Linked DNA regions of Pelodiscus sinensis. The protein of the gene in region 1 interacts with the protein of each later gene in a biochemical or structural test. Links are inferred from orthologs where the notes say so. Each region holds a gene or a part of one and is shown on either strand. Other genes may lie near its edges.

The links. The genes of interacting proteins can lie anywhere in the genome.
Region 2: the proteins of HRAS (region 1) and RASSF5 form a complex in vitro, tested with the Homo sapiens proteins (2 studies listed by BioGRID and IntAct, with this or other methods). The link is inferred for Pelodiscus sinensis from reciprocal best matches to the Homo sapiens genes HRAS and RASSF5.
Region 3: of the proteins of HRAS (region 1) and LZTR1, one has a biochemical effect on the other in vitro, tested with the Homo sapiens proteins (3 studies listed by BioGRID, with this or other methods). The link is inferred for Pelodiscus sinensis from reciprocal best matches to the Homo sapiens genes HRAS and LZTR1.

What each region holds. Positions count from the first base shown.
Region 1 is NC_134714.1:121,452,006-121,459,402, reverse strand, and holds the start of HRAS (GTPase HRas), read right to left. Parts: upstream 3,019-7,397; 5' UTR 2,947-3,018; intron 2,899-2,946; exon of another isoform or gene 2,536-2,898; intron 1-2,535. UniProt on the Homo sapiens protein: Involved in the activation of Ras protein signal transduction. Ras proteins bind GDP/GTP and possess intrinsic GTPase activity.
Region 2 is NC_134737.1:6,050,592-6,058,004, reverse strand, and holds the start of RASSF5 (ras association domain-containing protein 5), read left to right. Parts: upstream 1-4,412; 5' UTR 4,413-4,554; coding exon 4,555-5,146; intron 5,147-7,413. UniProt on the Homo sapiens protein: Potential tumor suppressor. Seems to be involved in lymphocyte adhesion by linking RAP1A activation upon T-cell receptor or chemokine stimulation to integrin activation.
Region 3 is NC_134737.1:16,320,574-16,328,379, forward strand, and holds the start of LZTR1 (leucine-zipper-like transcriptional regulator 1), read right to left. Parts: upstream 3,002-7,806; coding exon 2,817-3,001; intron 2,460-2,816; coding exon 2,397-2,459; intron 1-2,396. Other genes in the region: IPO9 (importin-9), read right to left, coding at 7,004-7,114. UniProt on the Homo sapiens protein: Substrate-specific adapter of a BCR (BTB-CUL3-RBX1) E3 ubiquitin-protein ligase complex that mediates ubiquitination of Ras (K-Ras/KRAS, N-Ras/NRAS and H-Ras/HRAS).

The sequences.
Region 1 (7,397 bases):
TTGGGGGCCCACAGGGGTATTTTGTTCTGCTTCTCACTTGTGTGCGACCTTCCTACTGATTTCTCTCTGGGTCAGTGGCCCCTGACTCAAAAAAGGCTCCCCACCCCTGGTCTAGATGATCTAGTGTTCCCTTCTGGCCTTAAACTCTATGACCTCATCTGCTGCAACCACTGCATTTAAACAAGTGCAATGCATCTATGCTGGGATGGGATTGTTGAAGCAGTACAACATCCCTGGCTAAAATCCCAGTGTAGACAAGCTCTTACAGATATAAAAGATCTGCATCGCATCTCCAACCCCTGGAGCCAGCCAGCCCTCCTCTTTGCATAATTTTCTTGCACATTTAGGCTATGATTTTCAAAGGAGGCTAAAGCTCTCTTAACAACTACTTAGTTACACCATGGCAGACCCTTTGTGGACACACTTCTACCAATTTAGAATAGGTTACATCAATTTAGCTCACCTGTAAAATTTACCAACACAAGCAAAATTCATTTATAATAAGCTCAGCCCAATACAAGGAATGTCCTATCCTTCCAACTCAAGTGTTCGCACCTTTTTCAGTCAGTTTAAAAGCACCCCTGCGGTTAAACTGGAACAACTGAGTGCAGGCCAGGTCCAAGAGAGTTTCGCACCTAATTCAAAGGCTTCTTTGAAAATCTCAGCATCATTACCCCCTAGTGTGCGCCCCACAGTGATGTACTGTATAAATGCTGTGCAAGGCATTTCAAGAGCTAACCATCAGCCATTCGGAGTTTGCTAATCCCCACTCAGACTTCCATATGGCTTTCCCTCCCAACTGCAGAGACAGGAAGCCTCACCCTGAGGCTATAGAAGGTTCTGAAGAGTTTCCCCTGACATTATTCCCAAGTGACATATCATGGGGAGTTATGTCCATCCCTCCTCTTCCTGTGGGTGGCCATGGCATAACACTTGAGGCTAGAAAGCAAGACACACCCTAGAAGGATCCTTGAAAGATTTCTTTCTCCTGTCCCACCCCCCAAAAAAACCCAGCATTCTGTTTTAACCCCTGCCTTTTAAAGGACTGCAGGACCTCCTCTGGAATGAAAGACAGACAGAGGAGTTATTATTACTGCAGCAATTCAATGGCACAGGACTTGAAAGAACAGTGACCACCCAGGCTCTGCTATTAGAAGTCTTGCTGTGCTATCAGCATAGACCACTCCCTAAGCTGCTGCCGACAGTGATATCACTGCAGGCATCAGTAGAGAGATACCCAGGGATCTGGGAGGGATGAAAAACGAGCGAGGCAGGGGAAAAAATAGGGAAAGGAAACGTGACAGCAGGCTGTTGCCTTCTCCTGGAGGATGCAGGGCCCCTCCCATGTATTTCCCCATGTTTTCTGGATTGGCAGGAAGTGTTTACAGAAAGCACAGTCATTGTAAGACTGGGAGGGCAGGACAGCAGGTGATTCTCCCCCTCCCTTCCTTTCCCGTTTGGAAACCCTGCCAGATTTTGGCAACCAGAAAGGAAGCTAAGAAGAAAGCACACAAGTCATCAGCAACCCTAAGATCTCAGGGCGACTGGCTCCCTGGTGCAAAAGGTGCAGAGGGATGTGGAATGCCACAGCTACTAGAGGGCCATTGGGCTGGGACATACAGGAGGAGACATTTCTACCATTACCAGATGACACACATTAGTTAACATGACTGCCACGATACTAGTGCACAAGCTTTTAAATCTGGAGGTATGAGAACCGCCCCTGTGGCCTCCCAAGCAAGCTGCTGGGGCCTGATTTGCAGGAAACAAAAGGGTCTGAAAATCAAGGGGAAGCTTCGGGCGGATGTAGGGAGTACACATTTGTAAATACTCAGAGAAATATAGGAAGAAAAATGCAGTCCCCCCCCCACACACACACAAACTCTAACAGGTGGCTCTCCGTCTCCCCTCACTACCTTCTTCCAGCGGGGTGCAGCGTCCGACACATCCAAGGCCAAAGCTGCTCTTTCACCCCAGCTCAGATCCCTTCCCAGACACACCCACTGTTGTCTTGCTTTTCCCTTCACAGACGTGACCCCTCCCCTGGCGGCTGCCCCCTCTCACAAGCACAGCCGTGAACACACGTCTCACCCCATGCAAGTGCTCGCTCGCCACCCACCTGGCAGGCACCCCACCCTCCCAACACACACACTTTTAAAACAGGCAGCCGCTTTCCCATTGCGGAGAGGGGCGGTTTGCCCTTCCCAGCTCACTTTGGAGCCTCCTAGTACAGCTGGTGCAGGATCAAGCGAGCGACCCGCCGAGCCGCCGCCGCCGCCTGCTCAGGCAAAGCCAGCTCTGCAATGCTGGACTGCAGCCGCCAGCCCTTACGGCGCACACATGCTCCCGGGCACACGCTGCCCAGGCCACTGCAATGCCGCCCTCAGCACTCCCGGGGGGTGGCGGGGGAGGGAAGGGGGCCGAGAGACACTTCCTCCTCCCCCCGCGCCCAGCGCCACCGCCCCTGCCCGCACTTCGGCAGCCCACCCGCCAACCCCGCTGCCCCGCCAAGCGGAGGAGACGGGGGGCACTTACCAGCGCGCCCGCCCAGGCTGCTTTCCTTGCGAGACAGAGAGCCGGGGGAGGGGGCAAATCCTCAGTGCGGGGGGGCGGCTTCTGCGGGAGCGGCGCACACAAAGTTTGGAGGGAAAAGGCAAAAACAAAACAAAAATCCCCCCTCCCGGCCAGATCCTGCTTCCCTCCCGGCGGCGGGTCAGCGGCGCGCCGGGCCCAGCAGCAGGCGAACTTTCCACCGGGGTGGTGGAGAAGCCCCCGGCTGGCAGCGCCCTCCCCGCATTGGCACCGAGCACTGGGGCGCTCGCGGGCTGCAGCGGCGGCGGCGGCTCGGACAATGTGTGTGTGTGTGTGCACCAGGGGCGAGCCCCGGCAGCGGCAGCGGCGAGCGGCACACGCCCAGGCTCCGCTCCCCGCCCAGCCGTCACTCACCGCCTCCCGCCGCCGCTGATAGGCCGCTCCGGGCCCCGGGGAGCGGAGCCACCCTCCTGGTGGGCTGCGGGCCGCGTCAGTCACCGAGGCGAACGGCGCCTCCTTTCTCCTCCGCCCCCTGCTGCCGCCTCGGCCGGGGCACGGGGCGGGTTATGGGGAAGCTGCGGCAGCGGGCGGGGAATTGCTCCTCGGCTTTTATTTTTAGCGCCTCGTTGCCAGCCCGTGGAGTCCAGCGACGCGGGGAGGTACCGATGCTTTATAACCTGGTGCAACAGGGACTTGTTCCGCCAAGGGTGAGTTGTAATCACCCCCGACGCATCAGAGGCCGAGGAGCACACAAATGGTCCAGCTGGACACACCTAGGCAAACGTTGTTTAAGAATGAGTTTTGATCTCCCACCTCTTCTCGCCCACTCCTTAAAGGAAACAGATATGGGGGGCCATATCCTCACCCCTCAAGCAACCTCATTGACTTCAGTGGAGCTGTGCTGATTTACCCCAGGGCTGGCTTTAGCGTGGTTGGGACCAAGGCATCCTTCCTTCTGTCCTTCCCTTTTCTTCAACTTGAATGGAGTGCTGGGGAAAGGTGCTGGCTTGTTGGAAGACCCTGGAGAATGGAGTTTTGTTTAGCCACAGAACATGAAGGGCCTGGGCATTTAGAAATAGGTAGGGTCCTACCAAATTCAAAATCACAACCATGAAAAATATGTCGCAGACTATAAAGTCTGGTTCCCCCCCCATGAAATCTGGTCTCTTCTGTGCTTTTATCTTATACTATGCAAATCTCACGGTGCAGATTAGATAGGGGTCCTGATACAAAGGAAGCTGCTGAGAGGTCACAACGTTATTTTCGAGGCATTGTGGTTTTGCCACTCTTAACTTCCATGCTGCCTGCAGAGCTGAGTGGCCAGAGTGTTGGGTGGCTGCTGGCTGGGTGACCAGCTTTGGAAGCAGCGCCTTGCCAGCAGCTGCACTGAAGTAAGGTTCGCAATACCATACCATGTCACTCATACATCTGCATTGCGGCCTTCAGAGCTGGGTGGCCAGAGAGTGGTGGCTACTGACCCATGGCTCAATTCTGCAGGCAGTAGTGCAGAAGCAAGAGTGGCAATGTCATGCCATCTTTCTGCATTGCTGCTGGTGCAGCTCTTCCTTCAGACCTGGGCTCCTGGCCAGCAGCTGCCACTCTGCAGCTACCCAGCTCTGTGCAGAAGTAAAAGTAGCAGTTCTGTGACCCTACCCCCAGTGCCTTAATGAGTTAGAACCCCAACAATTATAGCACCATGAAATTTCATATTGTAAATTTCGTTATATCAGATATTTAGATTGCTTAAACCTTATGACCATGAAGTTGACCAAAATGGACCACAACTAGGGTAGGGCCCTAACAAGAGAGTTGTTCTGTTCCCAAATCAGGACACTCCTGGGCATCTCCCATCATAATAAAAGGTATACACGTAAAACACTGCAGCGGTGCTTCAGTGAAGCTGTTCCATACTGTTGCAGATTTACGGGCGCGAGCTCCTACTCTCTGGCAGGAGGGCGGGGCCCTGCGAGCCCACCACCTCAGTTTACCCACGTAAGACGGGCTTAAGGGCATGAGCCGGCAGGAGCGTGGGGCCCAGCAAGCCCACCGTCTTAAAGGTCAGGGGGAGGGGAAATCCCTGAGGTCTCTCAGCCCCTAAGTCCTGCCCCCTCTTGGGGCTCAGTAATGACAGTCTGTCCACTAGGCCAATTGGCTGGCAGTACTCAATGCGCAATTAGAATGCAGTGTGGGGGGAGGAGGGGATTTAGGGGGACCCAGGCCCTCCCTCTCCACAGGGTCCCAGCCCGGGGCCCTAAGGGTTCAGCGTGTTTGACCCCTACCCAGCTGACAGGGTTCCACCCTGAAGCGCGCCGCCCACGGGCGCCTAAAGCACTCTGCCCCAGGCTGCTTCCTATCCCCCTCCTGAGTACCGACCCCCCCTGGGTTCATCCAAGGGGCTTACCTGTCCAGCGGCTTCTCTGGCACTTTGGTCTCTGCACCGAGCTTCCGGGGGATGCAGGCCGCTCCTCCACTGGGGTGGCAGACTTTGCTCCCAGCGCGGCGACAGGTGCCTCCAACTTTGTGCACCGCCCCGCTGCCCTCTTCTCCAGGACTTTTCAAGTGGCCCGCCGCTGGCCGCCAACAGATGCTGCTCTGCCCCTTCAACGTCCCGCTGCTCTGGGGCACCGCGGGTTTGTATTGGGGCCCCGCCCCCGCACACCATGGCCCTCTGCCATCCGCGCAGCTCCGGCAGCTGCTGGCTGCTGCTTCCTGGCATCGTGTCGCCCCACCCTCTTGCTGATAGAGTGGGCAGAGTCTTGTTGGTCCTAGTGTGGGCCTCGGCGGGCCCATCACACGCACCAAAAGGAGAGCCATAATGCTGTCTACACCAGGGACTGGGACCATATAACTCTCGCTCAGGGGTATGGATTTTTCATGACCTGCTTATACAGCTGTGACTGCATAGTGTAGACCTGGTCACAATTAGACTGCCAACCAGGGGGCCTTCATGGCAGTTTCTATGACTGAACACTGATCCACTAGGGAAGTTTAAAAGTGGGTAATTGGGTAACTGTGTAACTGATGAAAATCTCAGAGGTTAGAGTTATACACATCTGCAGCGTGGGGTGGCAGCTGAATCCCTGGGATGAAAGCTTATGAACCAAGTAGAAGGGGATGGCTTTGCATCAAGTGTAAGCTGCTGGGAAGCAGATGGATTCTCTAGGAACAAAGCACTGGAGTGAGTTGCTCTGTGAAAGGGGCTGCGAGGCAGATGAAGGTAGAAGAAAGTGGCCCTGGGAAGCAGCAGTTGCTAAGCTGTTTCAAACTGTGCCTGGGCTAGAACCCAGAGGATAGCAGGGGGTTCTCCCTTACCAGCTACATTGATTGTTTTAGGTAGCAGAACATTATTGCTCATTTCCATGATTCCATCCTGTGACTACCGCATGTTCATTTGGTCCCTTCTCGTAGTGTGCATAGGCATCTTCTGTGCAACTGAAATCGAGGCATCTGCAAGGGTCGGGGACGGAAGAAAAGGTCCGTGCAGTTTCTTGCCTCACATGGTTTCAGGATTTGGTTCTCCAGAGGGTGAGGAGAAAACTGGTCTCTCTGGTGAAAATGCCAGACTCCCCAATACCATTTTGCTGCTTCTCTTCCCAGATAACGTAGGCTCCTGGAATCCAGCTCGCCTGCAGATGCATCAGAGTTAATAATCATGGGTACCTTTAGCACATTTAGAAGACTGCGGCCACACCATTGGCAAGGCTCTCCCCAAAGCTTAAGGGTCACTTGCAGAGTGGCAAAAAGTGAACTAATAAGAAATAAAGTTTGAGAATGTGTTTTGTTTTCTTTAGAGAACACAGAATGCTTCCTGTTTCCCTCTGACATACATAATTTGCCATGACAACCAGCTTATGAAACAGAAAAGTATTGAGCATAAGGTGCTTGGTTGCTATGGTGAGGAGAGAAGCTGAGACCTTTTCCTCTTTGTTCATTGGTGGCCGTGCATCATCTAAGCAGGAGGGTCCAAGTCAATAAAAGTCCTTGTTAGGCTTGTAAGGCAGCAGGTTTGCATTGCATTATCTGGCAACATGGATCAAAACTGAAACACAGTCATTAGGAGGAATTAAGGAAATACGTGCCAGAACAGGGCTGGTTTCTTAGAAATACAGAGCCAAATTCAGTTCTAGTGTAAGCCAGTGTAACGCCTGCTGATGTCATTGGAAGTTGCATTTGCTTACACCAGGACTGAATTTGATTGCCATCTTTATCAACTTTCATATTTAGAAACTTCTTTTCCAAAGTGTGTCCAATGGGGAAAGCTCCTCTCCATAGATCTGAGAGGTGGGGCTGGCCATAGAGTTCTTGTTGCCTCAAGGTAGACTAGGCAGGCTTTAGTTATTCTATCATCTCACCCTGTCAGCAAGTATTGGGACTTTCTTTGAAAATACGGATTGCTCATGACTCATTGTGGAAAGTGCAGCTCATTAAGTCCACTCTGGGAAGTGAGAGTGGGCACAGAAAACTGGTTCGGGATAGAAAGAGGGGAAGGGGAACCCCAGAAACATCCTCAGATGTATTGGGTGGAGTGTAAGGCTGAATTTTGTTATGTTATTTAAACAATTAGCAAAATCGGTCTAGGAAAAGGGGAAATTTTGGACACTAAGTTAAGTACAGGTAGTCCCACTGCTCACATGCTTGAAGTTATTTGCAGTGTTGTAACCATGTTGATCCCAGAATATCAATGGGGTGGGTGAGATAATGCTTTATTGGACCAACTTCTGATGGTGAGAAAGACAAGCTTTCAAGCTTACACAGCACTGAAGAAGAGCTCTGTATAACTCAAAAGCTTATCTCTCTCCATCAGAAGTTGGTTCAATAAAAGATATTACCTCCTTCGCTTCTTGCTTGAAGTCAAGCATGTGCGT
Region 2 (7,413 bases), on another chromosome or scaffold:
TGTTAAATAGCTTTAAGCGTCATCTCAGAGGTTGCCATATTTTTGTTGGGGGCAAAGCAATTCATCTGTAGAACTGATATATCTGTTTAAATGTGCAGAAGACTACACAGCCCTACAGAAATATTAATTCACTCAATTCTCTTCCATCTTTCAGGTAAATAAATTTTCCCACTTCCCTGGTAGGGAAACTAAGGCAAAGAGGTTAAGTGATCTGCACAAGGTCACATACAAAATCAATATCAGAACAAGGTTGGAAACTCGAATTCCTGAGTCTTGGTCCTGTGTGTTGGTCAAGAGACCCAGTATTAACAGGACAAGAGACACATGAGAAGTGAATTCTTACAGTTCAGCAACCCCATAATTACAAAGGACACACTCAGTTTCCCCCATTGGGTTCTGACACACAATTGCATATGAAGTAAAACTGTTCGATTGACTTTTCTTGGGGCCCATGTATATTTATTTTAAGTTCTATTTTTTTTTTCAAATCTCATACAACACAAGTTCAATCTCTTATGAAGAAGCCTTCACATAACATGCGCTAGCCTGTCACAAATATTCCCCACGTTTTTTCTTTTACTGGATTGGGTGGGTGGGTTGGCTGTAGCTATGTTGTAACTGTCGCTTGAGCGCAAAACAGCCCTTTGTTGCATAGAAAAGAGAGGTTGCTTGTGATGATGATAAAATGAACAGGGGAGAAGGGATTTTAAGAAAACATAGGGCAGGGGGGACCAACTTCGTGCTAAAATGAAGAATGAAACTAGAATGTTGCAAGCTGGACTGCTGTTTGATAACTGACTTGAGCATCATGCTATGTATGTGCTATTATGGCACTATTAGCTTGTAACACAGATCTCCCAGCGCTTTTTGGGGTTAAATATCTGATTCATCCCTAACTCCCTTGAGAAACAGACACATGAGAACAAATTTACCCTCCACTATAGCAAATGAAAAGCAATTATCTCTGATTATCCTCTCCCTGGAACCCATGTAATTTAGGAGTAACTCCACTGACAACTATTTAAGAGTAATGCCACTGAAGTTTACACCAGTTTTACACCCATATGAGAGAAATTACACCACAAAGAAAAAGTAGTGCGGTAATAGTAGCCTGGGACCTGGAAGACCAAATTCAATCTATGCTCTACTGCCTACTTGTCATGTGGTCTTGGCCAAAAATTTTAAGTGGCTAGTGATTTTGAAGATCTGATTGTTTAAACATCCAACTTGAGATGCCGTAAAGGGTCAAAAATTGTGGAGCATTCACCTTCTGATAATCTGACCCTTTAAGGCATCTATCCTGTTAGACACCCAGACTAATTAGTCATTTCTGAAAAACTTAGACTAATTACTCTCTCTCTACCTCAGTCACGCTGTCTGTAAAATGGGAACAGTAGCTGCCTCATGGGCATTTAGTGAGCCTTCAGTGATGTTCAGGAAGTACTTGGTGTTCCCTAGTTGAGAAGCACTGTAGGCAGCACAATATTACATTTAATGTTCAATTAGCCTTTGTTCTGTTTCTCTTGATACAAAAGGCATAGAAAAGAATGAGTTTTGCCAAGCGGCAATTGTAGGAAGACTAAAGGAGGATATGATAGGGGTCTATAAAATCATGACTGGTGTGGAGAAAGTAAATAAGAAAAAGTTATCATTTCTATAACACAAAAACTAGGGGTCACCAAATGAAATTAATAGCTGGTTTAAAACAAAGGAAATATTTATTCACACAATGCACAGTCAACCTGTGGTACTCCTTGTGAAGGTCAAGACAATAACAAAAGAGCTAGATAGATTCATGGAGGTTAGGTCTATCAATGGCTATTAGCCAGATGGGCAGGGATGGTGGCCCTAGCATCTGTTTGTCAGAAGCTGAAAATGGGCAACAGGAGATTGATCACTTGATGATTCCCTGTTCTGTTCATTCCCTCTGGGAGCATCTGCAATGGGCAACTGTGGAAAGACAGGATACTGGGCTAGATGGACCTTTGGCTTGCTCCAGTATGGATGCTCTTATGTTAATGGATTTTGGCCCCTCCCTCAAAAGTTTTTTAAAAGCAAAAGAAGCATTTCAGGGATATTTTAAAATTCAAATTGAAACCTGAAACAAAAAGGGTCCTCAACAACCCCCCCCCCCCCGCAAATATTATTTAATTCTGCTTCCAGCTAGGTCGGGGTGAGTTGGGGTGAGGAAACTTTTTTGGGTTGGGGGCCACTGACCCACAGAAAAATTAGTCGGGGGCCACACACAAGTGAGAAACAACAACCAAAAAACCTCACCAATGTGGCCTCCGACTGTGAAGGAGAAAGACCCTCCCTCCCTTCCCCTCACACACTAGAGCCTAGATGGGCCCAGGCTAGATTTTGGGTGCTCCAACCCCACAGGAGGATGGCAGAGAAGGGAGCTGGAGGGGGGAGCCCTGAGCCTTTGGGGTCTGATCCAGGCAAGCCACAGGCCACATCCAACCCCCAGGCCTTAGGTTTCTCACCCCTGAGCTAGGTCATGCTAGCACCAGAAGCTGTCTGCAATGGCAAGTGGCTGGGTTTATTTTCACTTGTCTTGCAGGGAATGAAACACATACACAAAAACAGCAGTAAAGCCTTTTAAACTTGGGAGCCCAAAGTTAGGCACCTAAGTAAATGGTTTGATTTTTGTTTTCTTCTTCCAGAGGCTCTTGAGCAGATGCTGTTCCCATTCCATTGACTGGACATTCAGGGGCAAGGGGCATTCACAAAGTGTCTTTCATACGGAGTTAGGCATCTAACAGCAAGTACCCAAGAGAATATTTTGGTGCACCATGAAAATGAGCATTTAAATAAACAAGTGATTGCAATAAAGGTGGAAAATTAAATGATTGTCTAGACCAGGCGCACAAACGCTGTACAAACAGAACAACAGGACAGTCTGGGCCCCAAAGAGCTTATAGTCTACCTATAAAATAAGTGGATACAAACCTACAAGGGAGGACAAGGAAACAGAGAAAATATTGGTTCACTTAATTGGCAATGGTTCAGCTCACCAGCTGCAGCGTGTCCCTGTATGTGTATAAAAATACAGGTCTGTAGAAGCTGAATGTTTAGTAAAGACTGTAATTTACTTTATTAATAAATATAAATTAGCCATTCAAAAATTCATCTCCAAAACCAGTGTTGCATTTTTGTACAGTTTCCTGTTGAAGTGTTGAGGAAAGTGCAGTTAATGGGCCCAAATGTGGTGCAGAGGTGAGCTTTAGTAATGGAGGGGAAGGAAGCAGTGCTGTAAACTCTCTATAGCCCTTACGGTTATTTATCTCTGTGTTTTAAAAAGAGCTTTATCTAACCCAGCAGTGGGCAACCTGCAGCCTGCGGGCCACATGTAGCCCATGCACCTGCTTTCCCCGTGCCTCCGGGGTCCTGCACTTACCTACTCCTCCCCCTTCCTCCCAGCACTTCCAGAGAGCCACAAATTGGCTGCTCTTCTTCCAACCTCCCAGGGCTAGAACACCATGAAGTCCTGGGTGAGGGGCTGGAGCAGGGACCCGAAGCACTTGGGAGAGGAGGCAGGGAAGAGGCCGGATAAAGAATTGATATTGTGTGAATTGTTTCTTTTTTATTATTTGAAGTTGAGGACCACTCTGTTAATCCATGAATGATTAAAGCATTTCAACTTGTTTTGAAATATGCTGCATATTAACATATTTAATCTTATTCTTGGGGTCATGATTAATGCATGCGGGTTTATTTCAGTCTTGCAGCCCGCTCATTAACTGTGTGTGCTACCCCCCAGGGGCACAAACGGATTCCCCACTTATTGAAGAAATTGTGGTGGTACTTTGCAAAATCCCACTAGGTGCTTAAATACCTTTTTAAGCCTCTGCCCATAACATCCTGTTGTCAAAAGTGGCCTGGGCCCTCAGCAGCCTAAAACTTGTGTGGCTTTTTATTTCCCTCACTGCCTAAGTCACTTCTGGGCAAGGACGGGAGCCCTTAGATCAGTGAAAAAAATTCCCCTTTCAGGCAGGCATCGGCTGGGCATTGCTGGGAGGACTGGTAGCCGCGTTTGAATTCCTGTCTCCTTTCTTTGTAAACAGGTGCCTGGCCGGGGCATGCAGGCATGGGTGTAAGTACACACAGGTGCCCCCTATGCAGCAGTGCTGAAAAGTAACTTTCAATTTCCCACAGGTGTGGTCCTACTGCAACCGGGCTCCTTGCCAGTTGTTTCAATAGCTCCCTGCTGGGTTCTGCCCCGGCTCTTAGCAGAGCTGCGCCCCCCTTCCCTGTCCCCTCCGGTTTGTGGGGTCTGCGCCCCGGTTTGCACGCGCGGTGGGGCAGGGACTGTGCCTGGAACGAAGGGCGTTTCCCCCAGCGCAGTGGGGCTGGGTGCCTGATTGGCTGGTGCCGCAGCGGCTGCTCCAATCTCAGGCTCGCGGCGGGTTTCGCGTGTCCCTGTGTGTTTAACGGGGCCTCCCACTGCAGCGGCGCTCGCAAGCGGCTACGCCAGCGGCGCTTCCAGGTGGCTCCCCCCCTTGTCTCTCCAATTCACCCCTGCGCTCCGCCGGGCCGCGGCTCGCTCGGGCCATGGCCTCCCCGGCCATCGGGCCGTGCCCCTGCCCGCTGCTCCTGGACAAAGAGCAGCAGCTCTTCCTGCAGAGCCTGAGCGCCCACGAGAGGAAGAAGATCCTCAAGCGCTCGGCGTCCGCGGACGCGAAGCCGCGGAGGCGGCAGGGGACCCTGCCCCAGCAGCGGGGCGCGGCGCCGGAGGATGCTCCGCCGGCGCAAGTGGCTGCAAGCGGCGGGGCGCCCGCGGACGGGGCGCGCCCGGGAGACGGGAGGTTCCCTGGCACCGCGGAGGAGCCCGGGCGCACGGCGCTAGCTGCGTGCTCTGCCGCGCAGCCCTGGGAGCCGGGGGGCAGCGCCGGAGCCCCCAGCCCGCCGGACTCCCCCGGCTCGGCCAAGCCGGCCCGCTCCGGGCTGCTCCACCTGCGCCTGCGGCGGCGCTCCGGGGCGCCGCGCCTGCTGCCCGACGTGCGGACCATCTTCGAGCAGCCCCGGGACCCCCGCGTGCGGCAGGAGACGGGCGAAGGGCACCGCTTCCAAACCTTCGCGCTCTGCAGCGGCTGGTGCGACCTGTGCGGGCAGGCGGTGCAGCAGCGAGTCCTGCGCTGCGCCAGTAAGTGTCTCTTCTCCCCCCTCCCCAGCTCCCTCCTGGCAGGTGACCGATCGCTTCCCTTGGCATCCCCCACCGCCCCCCTTCTCACTGCAGATGTCTGACCCGCCCCTCCTTGCACTGATCGGCAGCCCCTCTCGGTGCGAAATTGAATCACATCCCAACCCCTCTGCCCCCTGACAGGAGTGGGATCCCTGCTCCCCCCCCCCCCCCGCTGGTGTCTGACAGTGACAGGTGGTCTCCACAGCCCCCTGCCCTACACGCTCCTGAGGGCATCCGGAGAGCGTGTGTGTGTGTATGTAAGAGCACAGCGCATTGCCTGAGAAGGGATAATCCGGGCAACCTGGTTGCATCTAATCAGAAATCGTTTAAAGCAGTTAAATTCCCCTAGGAGAGCACCTGTGTTTGATGACAAAGGTTACTTCAGGGTGCCAGTGGTGGTATGTATATTAGAGGGGAGCTGTTTCTTTCACAGGCTTCAAACCTTGAGTAACCTCCCAGCTGTGGAATATATTTCCCCCTCATTTTTTTCTCTATAGCTTGTTGGTTTATTAACCCTATTACATACCAAGGTATTTACCTTCATCTGCAACTTTGACAGCATTGTATGCCTTGCCCTTTGCCCCACTGACAAATGACCTGATACTCAGACAATGTATTTGCTGATGTATGCTTGATTTAAGTCACTTGTTTTATCTCTTCAGGAGCTGTAAAGGCTTGCTAAGTACATAGCTGTGTTGAAGGATGACAGATAATGGTTTGATGCATGGAGCTCTGTTGCTGGTTTATTGGGATCTAATGTAATATTGTCTATAAAACACTATTGATTTGCTACCACTATAGATAGATAGATAGATTAGTCTGATGAGTTTTTGAGTCTGGCAGAGAAAAATGTGTGTGTGTCTATCATGCCATAGTCATGAGCTCCTTCAGGAGTTCATTTTGCTCACTAGCGCATAACACTGATCATCTTGGTTTTAAGATTTAGAGTAGCTGTGCTGTGAGTTCTGGTGATGTTTGATAAGTCTTTTCTCATCCTGTTCATGCACGTTTTGGGAAGGTGCAAATTCACAGAGTAATCACAACGATAGTGTTGTAAGATGTTCCTACCTTCATTATAGAATTTTCATCATTTAATGATCTGGGTTCATTCAGCTCATCCCTGCTGGTAAAGAGGTCTTGCTCTGATCTCAGTTGGAGTTGCACCTGCTTATGGGACATAATCCCTAGAATGCAGGGGTGTATCTGAATTGTTGCATGAGGTATATTTTTCTGCCAAGATGCCATTATAGCAATGTAAGGGCATTTCTCAATAAGCTGAATGATACACTGGGGGTTGGAGGAGGGTTGATTGAACTTAATTGTCAGCGTGGAACTGCTGATGGTGTCAAGGGAACTTAGATTATTGATTTTTTTTAATTGACTCTCTTGTATAGTAATCAAAGCTTAATATTTGATGGAGTGACTGGGTGCAGATTTTCTGCTGCCCAGCGCTGGCTCTAAATTAAATGGTTCATTTTCTTTCTTCCCTTCCCCTTTTTGTAGCTGATGAATATGCTTTCATGTTCAGTTTTGAATGGACATTCACTCTGTCTGGGCATTAACATTAATTTAAGGAACTGAAAATTACTTTTTCCTGTTACTCCTCATAATTGTTAATATGGTTACAGAGGTAGCGAGGACAGTAATTAAATTTCTCTTGCCAAAAGATGGCACTGATAACCTGTGAAGCACTGGATTGGAATTTTTTAAAAGCAGCTAAACATTTCTGCAATGACTTCTTTTGTCCTGCATTGTCCGTTGTTCCTAACCCCACCTTGTGCAGCACATAGAATCTCATAAAGTATAATATTCCAAAGCACATCATGATTAGATAAACTGCTCTTCAAAATGAACAGGTTCTAGCATAGGATTGCATGCTTCAGAGGTTAACATTGACACTGCTGCTCAGTCTGTGCTGATGTACATATTCAAATCTAAATTACCTGTGTAGTAGACACTGATCGAGAAGGAGGGAGTTCTCTTCCTTAAATTCACTCTGGTGGTTGGCTTCATTAATAGCTTATGGGAAATACCTAGTTACTAACTAAAGAAACTGAGACCAGATACCTCTATGTGAACTAATAAAATGTGAATATCATTTTTAAAAATAATTAGAACAGGGTCCTTGTTCATCTTAAAACATCTGGGATCTGGAAAAGGAAGCATGTAGGGAGTTGAAGTATCTTGATTGGGTGTTTTTCCTACTCCAGTACCTGAGGAATTTCCAG
Region 3 (7,806 bases), on another chromosome or scaffold:
CTGGCTAGGTCTGCACCTCAGCCCCCAACCCTGACACATAACTTTCCCCCTTCTTCTCACAAATATTATGGAGCACACAGCAGGCTGCCACAACAATGGGAATGTTGCTTTTAATAGGTCAGACTCCAAAACATTCCCTTTACACACCCAAAAGCACACATTCTACCACCATTCTGCTCTTGCTCAGCTTGTAGTCAAACTGCTCCTTATTGTGTCCAGGCTTCCTGTGTAGGGCTTCATGAGCCACGGAAGCAAGGGATAGGCTGGGTCTCCAAGAATCACTATTGGCATTTCAATGCTTCTGATGTTAATTTTCTGGTCTGGGAAGAAAGTTCCAGCTTGAAGCTTTTTAAAGAGAGGAGAGTTCCTAAAGATGTGCACATCTAGCACCTTTCCCAACCATCCCACTCTGATGTCAGTGAAGCAGCCCTTAAGATCCACATGTGCCTGCAGCACCATCAAGAAGTACCCTTGTGGTTTATATATTCCTTTACAAGGTGGTTGGGTGCCAAGATGGGGATGTACATTCCATCTACCACCCCACGGCTACATCTCTATTGCAGCCTTCTTCCACAAAAGCTTATGCAAATGAAGTGCAGAGTAGAATGTGCTTCTTTTGCATAATTAATTAGCAGCCATTTTTGTGCAAGAGGCTTTTGAGCAAAAAGGAGCTGGGTAGACAGCTGGATTCTTGCAGCAGGTTCTGCCTGCGATGCACCCGGACCTGATGCAGACAGAGGAAGCTCCGTATTCCCAGAGCAGCCTCTGTCCTCATCATGCTCCTCAGGACTAGAGCAGCCCCCTGTGATTACTTTTCTAATTGATTAGTCAACAGATTTTCTGTCGACTAGTCGAGAAGGGTTAGGCAATACCAGCACTCAGTTTGGCTAATGCCAGTTCACAGCATAACCTTCTCAGCTGCTGCTCTGCACTGCACAGCTTAGGGAAGCCATCAGCGAAGGCGCTGAGTCGGTCCCTGTTCCAAGCATTTCTTTTCATTCATCACCACACTAAGGATGTTAAGGACTAGTCGACTAGTTGACTATCCAATAAGCAAATGCTTAACGGATAGTTGAGTTGACTAATCGATTCCCCGCCCCCTTGCTGCCTCTATTGGATAGAGGCAGCAAAAGGAGAAGGAAGAGGAGGTACTTCAAAGGCAGTGTTGCACAGCTGACCTGGTATAGTGTTTCAAAGCGGCAGCACTGCATGGAGCCCCAGGTCAGCTGGGATTTTCAAAGGAGGAACATAGAAGTGCCTATCGACAAGTGGATGGAAATTCCATCGACTACTTGACTAGTAAATTAACCGATATTTAACATTCTTAAACCACACACACACACACACACACACACACACACACGGCTGAATGAAAAGAAATGAGTGGAGCAGGGACCGACTGAGTGGCTTCCTTAGACCGGGCAATGCAGAGCGGCAGCTAGCGCTGGTGTGTGCTGAAAAATGAAAAAAAAAATGCGTGGAGCAGGGACCAACTCAGCTCCTTCACAAATGGCTTCCCCAGGCTGTGCAATGCAGAGCACCAGCTGGGGGGGATGCGATTAATGAATAATTCTAATCGATAAGCTCCTGCTTATTGGTCAGTCGACTAGATGATTAGTCACTAGCATGCCTTATTCCAGGCCCCACCAGTTAATCAGAACCAGTAAGCATCAGCTTTTAAGGGTGATGCTTGCCAATGAATCTTTCACATCCCTACCACAAAGATCACTACATTCAGCCTATTTCAGACCAATGTGAGGAAACAAGAGAGCCTCAGACACTTCACTGAGAATTCCCTGATAGCCTCTGACCCTTCTTTTAAGGGAGAGCTAAAAGAGGAGGGTTCCAGCTCCTGCTGACCTGGCAGTATGACTGATGGAGAGAAGCACTCTTTCAGATAAGCTTTAGAAATCATAATCACCTTATAAGCTAGACCAGGAGACAAACAGATAACCAGTGAAGAGCCCAAAGTACTAGTGTCTCATACTTCTAGTGAGGAAGCCTGCTCAATTCTGCACAAGCATAGGATCAGACTGGTTTGAAGTGCAGCACCTTTGACACCTAATCTTGAGGGGACAAAGGACTGAATAAGAGTGCCTTGTCTGCAACTGAAAGGGCTAGATGGTGACAGTAAACAGCTGAGTAGGATGCTGCTATAATACAAGTGTCACAGAGTAGCCACAGGTACAGAATCACTTAAAAAGTCCCAAACCCTAGTAACAATAGAATTGTGGGTTGTCAATACAACCTGCATGTCCACTCTACAGAATGTTCAGTCTAAAGCTCAGTGGCTGCACAGCCTCCATCTAACATTAACAAGCGTGACAGGAGCAGGACCAGCAGGGAAGCTGCCTGGCACCAACATTACTGGGGCCAGCCAAGGCAGGAACACTTACCCATTATCACCACCAAACACATAGATGGCATCCCGATAGGCAACCACAGTGTGTTTACTGCGCCTGAGAGAGAGAGAGAGTCTGTCAGACTTGGGGAGTCGTCACCCTGACCCAGCCGCTCTCCCAAGACCCTTCAGCCCCGCCCCTCTTCCCTGGCCCCTCAGCACCAGCCCCGCCCCCTCAGTCCCTGGCCCCTCAGCGCCAGCCCCAGCCCCGCCCCTCTCCCCTGGCCCCTCAGCTCCAGCCCCGCCCCCTCAGTCCCTGGCCCCTCAGCGCCAGCCCCAGCCCCGCCCCTCTTCCCTGGCCCCTCAGCACCAGCCCCGCCCCCTCAGTCCCTGGCCCCTCAGCGCCAGCCCCGCCCCCTCAGTCCCTGGCCCCTCGGCGCCGTCCCGCCCGGCGCGCGCTCCTCCGCCGCCTCACCTGGCCCCCACGAACTCGTCGCACGGCGGCAGGCGGCGCCAGCGGTGCACGGTCTCGAAGGGCCCGAAGTTGAGGGTCAGATACTCCACGCTGTCCGAGCAGCTGTGGTCAAAGTCCACGCTGGGCGCCACCTTGGAGCTCCCGGGCCCCGCCACGGAGGGGACCCCGACCGCCGCCATCGCCATCAGGAAGGCCCGGACCCACAGCCCGGCGCATGCGCAGCAGCGCCGGCGGTCCAGCGTGCCCCGCGCCACCAAGAGACTGCAACTCCCAGCATGCCCCGCGTCTTGGGCGACAGACAGAGGCTGCTGGCTCCCGGACACTTGGGGAGGGGGCGGGGCATCGGCACACGTGGGCTAGGGGCCTCCCCCCACGCGCCACGCCAGGCAGGTGCAGGGACTGGCGGGCTGGAGCCAGGGAATTCCTGGGGCGCTCAGGTGGCGTTTGGAGCAAGAGCGTGTTACCAGGCCCAGGTAGAACGGCGCCAGCTGGCCGCGCTGCTTTCAGACCCTTCCCCCAACACATTTGGGAATAGGGTTGTCACATGGTTTAAACAAAAATACCCGACGCACTTGCCCTGACATTACAATCTACAGGGCATCTAATTTAGAAAATACCGGACATTTCTATTTTCTCAATTTGTTTCCCAACCAGAAAGCTCAAATACTGGACGGTCTGGTTCAAAACTGAACACCTAGCAACCCTATCTGGGAATTTATTTCAAGATCTGAAATCTAGGTGATTTCCATGGAAAGGTAGCGCCCCTGCTTACTGCAACCCCAACCCTGGAGCACCCTGGTATCCAACCAGTTCTGAAGCAATAGCTATTCCTACACAAACACGGCTCCAGCAAAATCTCTCCCAACCCCGATAGTCCAGTAGGGCTGGGAAAGACTGGAACTCAGACCGGTCCTCATTCCCAGACCACCACCCACCTGGAGATTAGTCACTATAGCATGGCAGGTACACAAAATTTTTCCTCATCTACTACCTAAGTGTTTCCCTCCTTTTCTTAAGTGAATTCAGTTATTCCTAATGATTTTCCTCCCCCCATGCTTTGCCATATTCAACAATCCTACTTGTGCTCTCTCTCCCTAGGCATCAATCAGCTAACAGGTATCTATGTACCTTTTCTGGTCATTCCCTCCTAACACAGCCCCGGATCATTTCTGTCACTCTCCTACAAGAGCCCTGTTGTCCATCAGTACATTGGTGCCCAGAACTGAATGCACTGCCTTATTACAGCTCAAAGGGACAGACACTGGAGCATTTCGTTTTTTTCCTTCCTACCCCAAATCCCCAGTTACACTTAGACCCAGAATAAGCCCCATACCACAGGCTTTACTGGAAAACCTTGGAGGTGGGCAGGCTGTTCTAATGCCCTCCCCCACAGCACTGTAGAGGACATTAGAGATTTATGTTAGACCACATTTCTAGCATAAATTAGAAGTTACAAACTGGATTATAAACCAGAAATAAGTTTAACAACTATGAAGATGTAAAGGACTAGTCAATTCCCCCTCCCCTGCTGCCTCTACAGGTAGGGGCAACAAGGGAGAGAGAAGAGAAGGTAACTTCAAAGTGGCAGCCTCACATGGAGCCCACGCCCAGGCTCCATGTGGTGCTACCCCTTTGAAACGCCGGTGTTTCAGAATGGCAACCCCACATGGAGCCTGGGGTCAGCTGGAGACTCCCTTGCTGATCCCAGGCTCCATGCAGCACTGCCACTCTGAAATGCCAGCAGAGCCCAGGATCAGCTAGGGACTGATCCCGGGCGCCAGCACAGCATTTCAAAGCATGCAGAGCCTGGGGTCAGCTGATCCCGGGTTCTAGGGAATGCTGTGCAGATCCTGGGGTCCCCAGCTGACTCCAGGCTCCACATGTCATTTCAAACTGGGAGCACAGCATGGTGCCTGGGGTCAGTGGGAGACTGAGTCCCCCGCTGACCCCAGGCAGGTGTTTCTGCTTTGAAATACACAGGAGCCCCCTGCTGGGGACTCTTGTACATTTCAAAGCTGGCGCACTGCTCTTGTGCATTTCAAAGGGTAAGCACCCTCATGGAGCCCAGAGTCAGCAGGACTTCCTGCAGGCCTTGGGCTGCACACCCAGTTCTGCATTCCTCCTTTGAAATGTACAAGAGCCCCTCTTGGGGCTCTTGTACATTTCAAAGAAAGAATGTGGAAGTGCCTATGGACTAAGTCAATGGAAATTCTATCATCTTCTCAACTAGTATATTACTCGTTAGTTAACATACTTCATTTCCATGCCACAAAACACACTGCTACCCTCAAACATCTGGCCCTTCACTTACCTGGAAGTGTGCATGACTATTTTAGAGCCCTGTTTCCAGTGTATGGGATATCATCAAGCAATATCTGATGGCTCCTTCCTGCATTCCGTGTAGTTGAGATATGCCTTACATTTTCAGCACCAGGGCACCAGTGTTTTACAACAGGCCCTCTTAACATTCAGGAGCAAAACTTCATCAGCTATCATGCTAAAGAAATGCTACAGCATTATGTATCTTCTATTACTAATTTCAGGAAAGAACCATCTGATTCTTCAGCACAGTTAACCTCAGGATTTCAGAGAGAGAGAGAGAGACTGAGAAAGCAAGTTTGGCACACAAGTCAGATATTGCAGAAGATATCCTACAGCACTCAACCCTTTTTACTCCATTCACATGCAATGACAGAATGTAGTGTCTCTTCTCCTTCCATCATTGCTTCAGGAAGGTCGGGGCAGTCCTGTTGCATTTTTTTAAATGTTAACATTAACAAATAAACTAGGAGCATCAGCTTTCCCTGGGTTACTAAAAAGGAGAGTTAATTTTTATTTCAGCTGAGGAAAAGAAGAGCCACATCTTAGTAAGTTCAGCAGGGCTTGAGGTCATACAAGCTTTGTGAAGACGTACGGCCTTGTACTAGGTTCCTTTATAACTCCCACCTCCCAAACTAAAAGACCAACAGAAGAGAGTTAACTGATGGACCATACAGGAAAATGGTTCTCATTCTGCCTAAAAAGATATGAAAGCTGCAGAGGCAGTTACAGGTTTCCCCTCCTGCCTAGAGGGCCAATAGCAAACCAGGTGAATAGTCTCTAGGGAACAATTAAAGGAGAAGCTTTAACGGGCAAATGTGTAAAAAATTTAATTATTTCCTTCTATGAATCTGTTCATGCTAGGATATATTTTAGTACTTTTATCTTCGTTTTCCCCAATAGGGAACAATAGGCAAAGAAGTTTTATGAGATACATTGCTCTGTATATTTGCATAAATAAGTCTGTAATGTTATTTTACCATCCTATAAAAATACACATACTAATTTGTGGACTATAGCTTGCCCACTTCATATACATCTCAGTAGTGTGAAGGAAGTAGTGAAGTATTTCAGAGAACCAGTTTTATGGAATAAAGAAGTTACATGTATTTTCTCCCTAAACAATTATGATGGTTTGTATTGAGTAAAACCAGTCTTCAGTAGCCACATTCCACCAGAATTAAGACTGAAGTGGTAGCTTCCTGTCAGCATGTGCATACAAAAGCTTTCGCAAAGTTGCAAAGTTAAAGACTAGATAGAAACTCCCACCCACAATACGAAACAAGATGTTCATTTAGTTTTATTACAGCTTCCAATCCAAATTCTTGTAAACAGAGTCCATATTGTTTAGGCATCTCTTTGATAAAAGTGTCTGTAGTTTTATAGAAAAGTCACATGGTAAGATCAACATTTTACCCTGTTAAGTGTTATGCAAGTGCGAAGAAAAACAAAACTTTCAAAGTCTCAAAATACATCCAAGCAACCTACAAAAGACCTGATTCCGCTCTCATTTTGTCCAACTGTGTTGTGTGAAACTCAGTTATATGCCTCTTCAGAGGCAAATATAAAGTTTTTAAAAAATATTTAAGGACACATTATTTTAAGGACCTCCTGGAAAGGTGTTTTTTTGTTTTTTGTTGTTTTGGTGGAAAACAAAAGTGTTCCCCTGGTGATAGAGTGCAAAGCTCAGTCTTGTCTTCGGTGTTCTCAATAATCCTTCCCTTTACAGAGTCATGGTAAGACAAAGCTCAATACTTCGGGATGAGGAAGATCACATCTGTAACAGGTGAACACTGGAAAAAGTTTCATGTTTAATCACAAAACATGGAATAAGCTAGAAAAATATTGTCCAGCTATGTCAATACAGTTCATATGCCAATGGCCTGAAGCACTCTTCTCTCATTCTCATTGAGATGGTCTGAGAACATTGCATAGCAAGGCTGCTGTGCAAACTGACAGAGGAAATCAGTGAGATAAGCCTAGAAGGTAGATGACAAAGGACATAGTTAACATATTTCAATACATCTATCATTGCTTTACTTTGGACATTACAATTGCATAATGTGAGAGAAGACAAAGTGAACGAGCACAAACGAAGAGTGGAGGGGAAAGGGATACTGTGCTCAGCTAATAAGACAGATGCCTAATGCAGTATGGTCTAAGTACATGCCAAACAGACCAAGCCAAATGGGGTTCCCAAGCTCTAACCAAGGCATAGGTCAGGGAACACAGAGCCAGTCAGATCATTTACTCAAGACAGAGCATTGGGAGGTGTCTATGAGTACGCTCTGCAGTGGAAAGAAGCATTATTACAATCTGTTTCCTAGATTCTGACTGATTACTCACTCCATCTCCCCACAACCCAGGACTTCCCTGTAGCAGAATGTATTGTGTCACAGCTAGTTCAAAAAGTCACAAATGACAAAGCTTCTGTTGTTCCCTGACAAACTATGACATAACTTAATACACTTTAGTCCAGCAGTTTCCTTCTTAAATACATGCTTAGTTTTTCCGTAATGAAAATTTCACATTGTTCATCCCCTCACCAGAAGTCAGAAGAAAACAGGCTGCCGCAGAGGGCTGAGGAATAAGGGGAAACGTGGTGAAAGGAGGTTACAGTAGACGGAGGGAAGAGGACAACAGTTGGAAGGATAAAAGCAGGCAGAAAAGC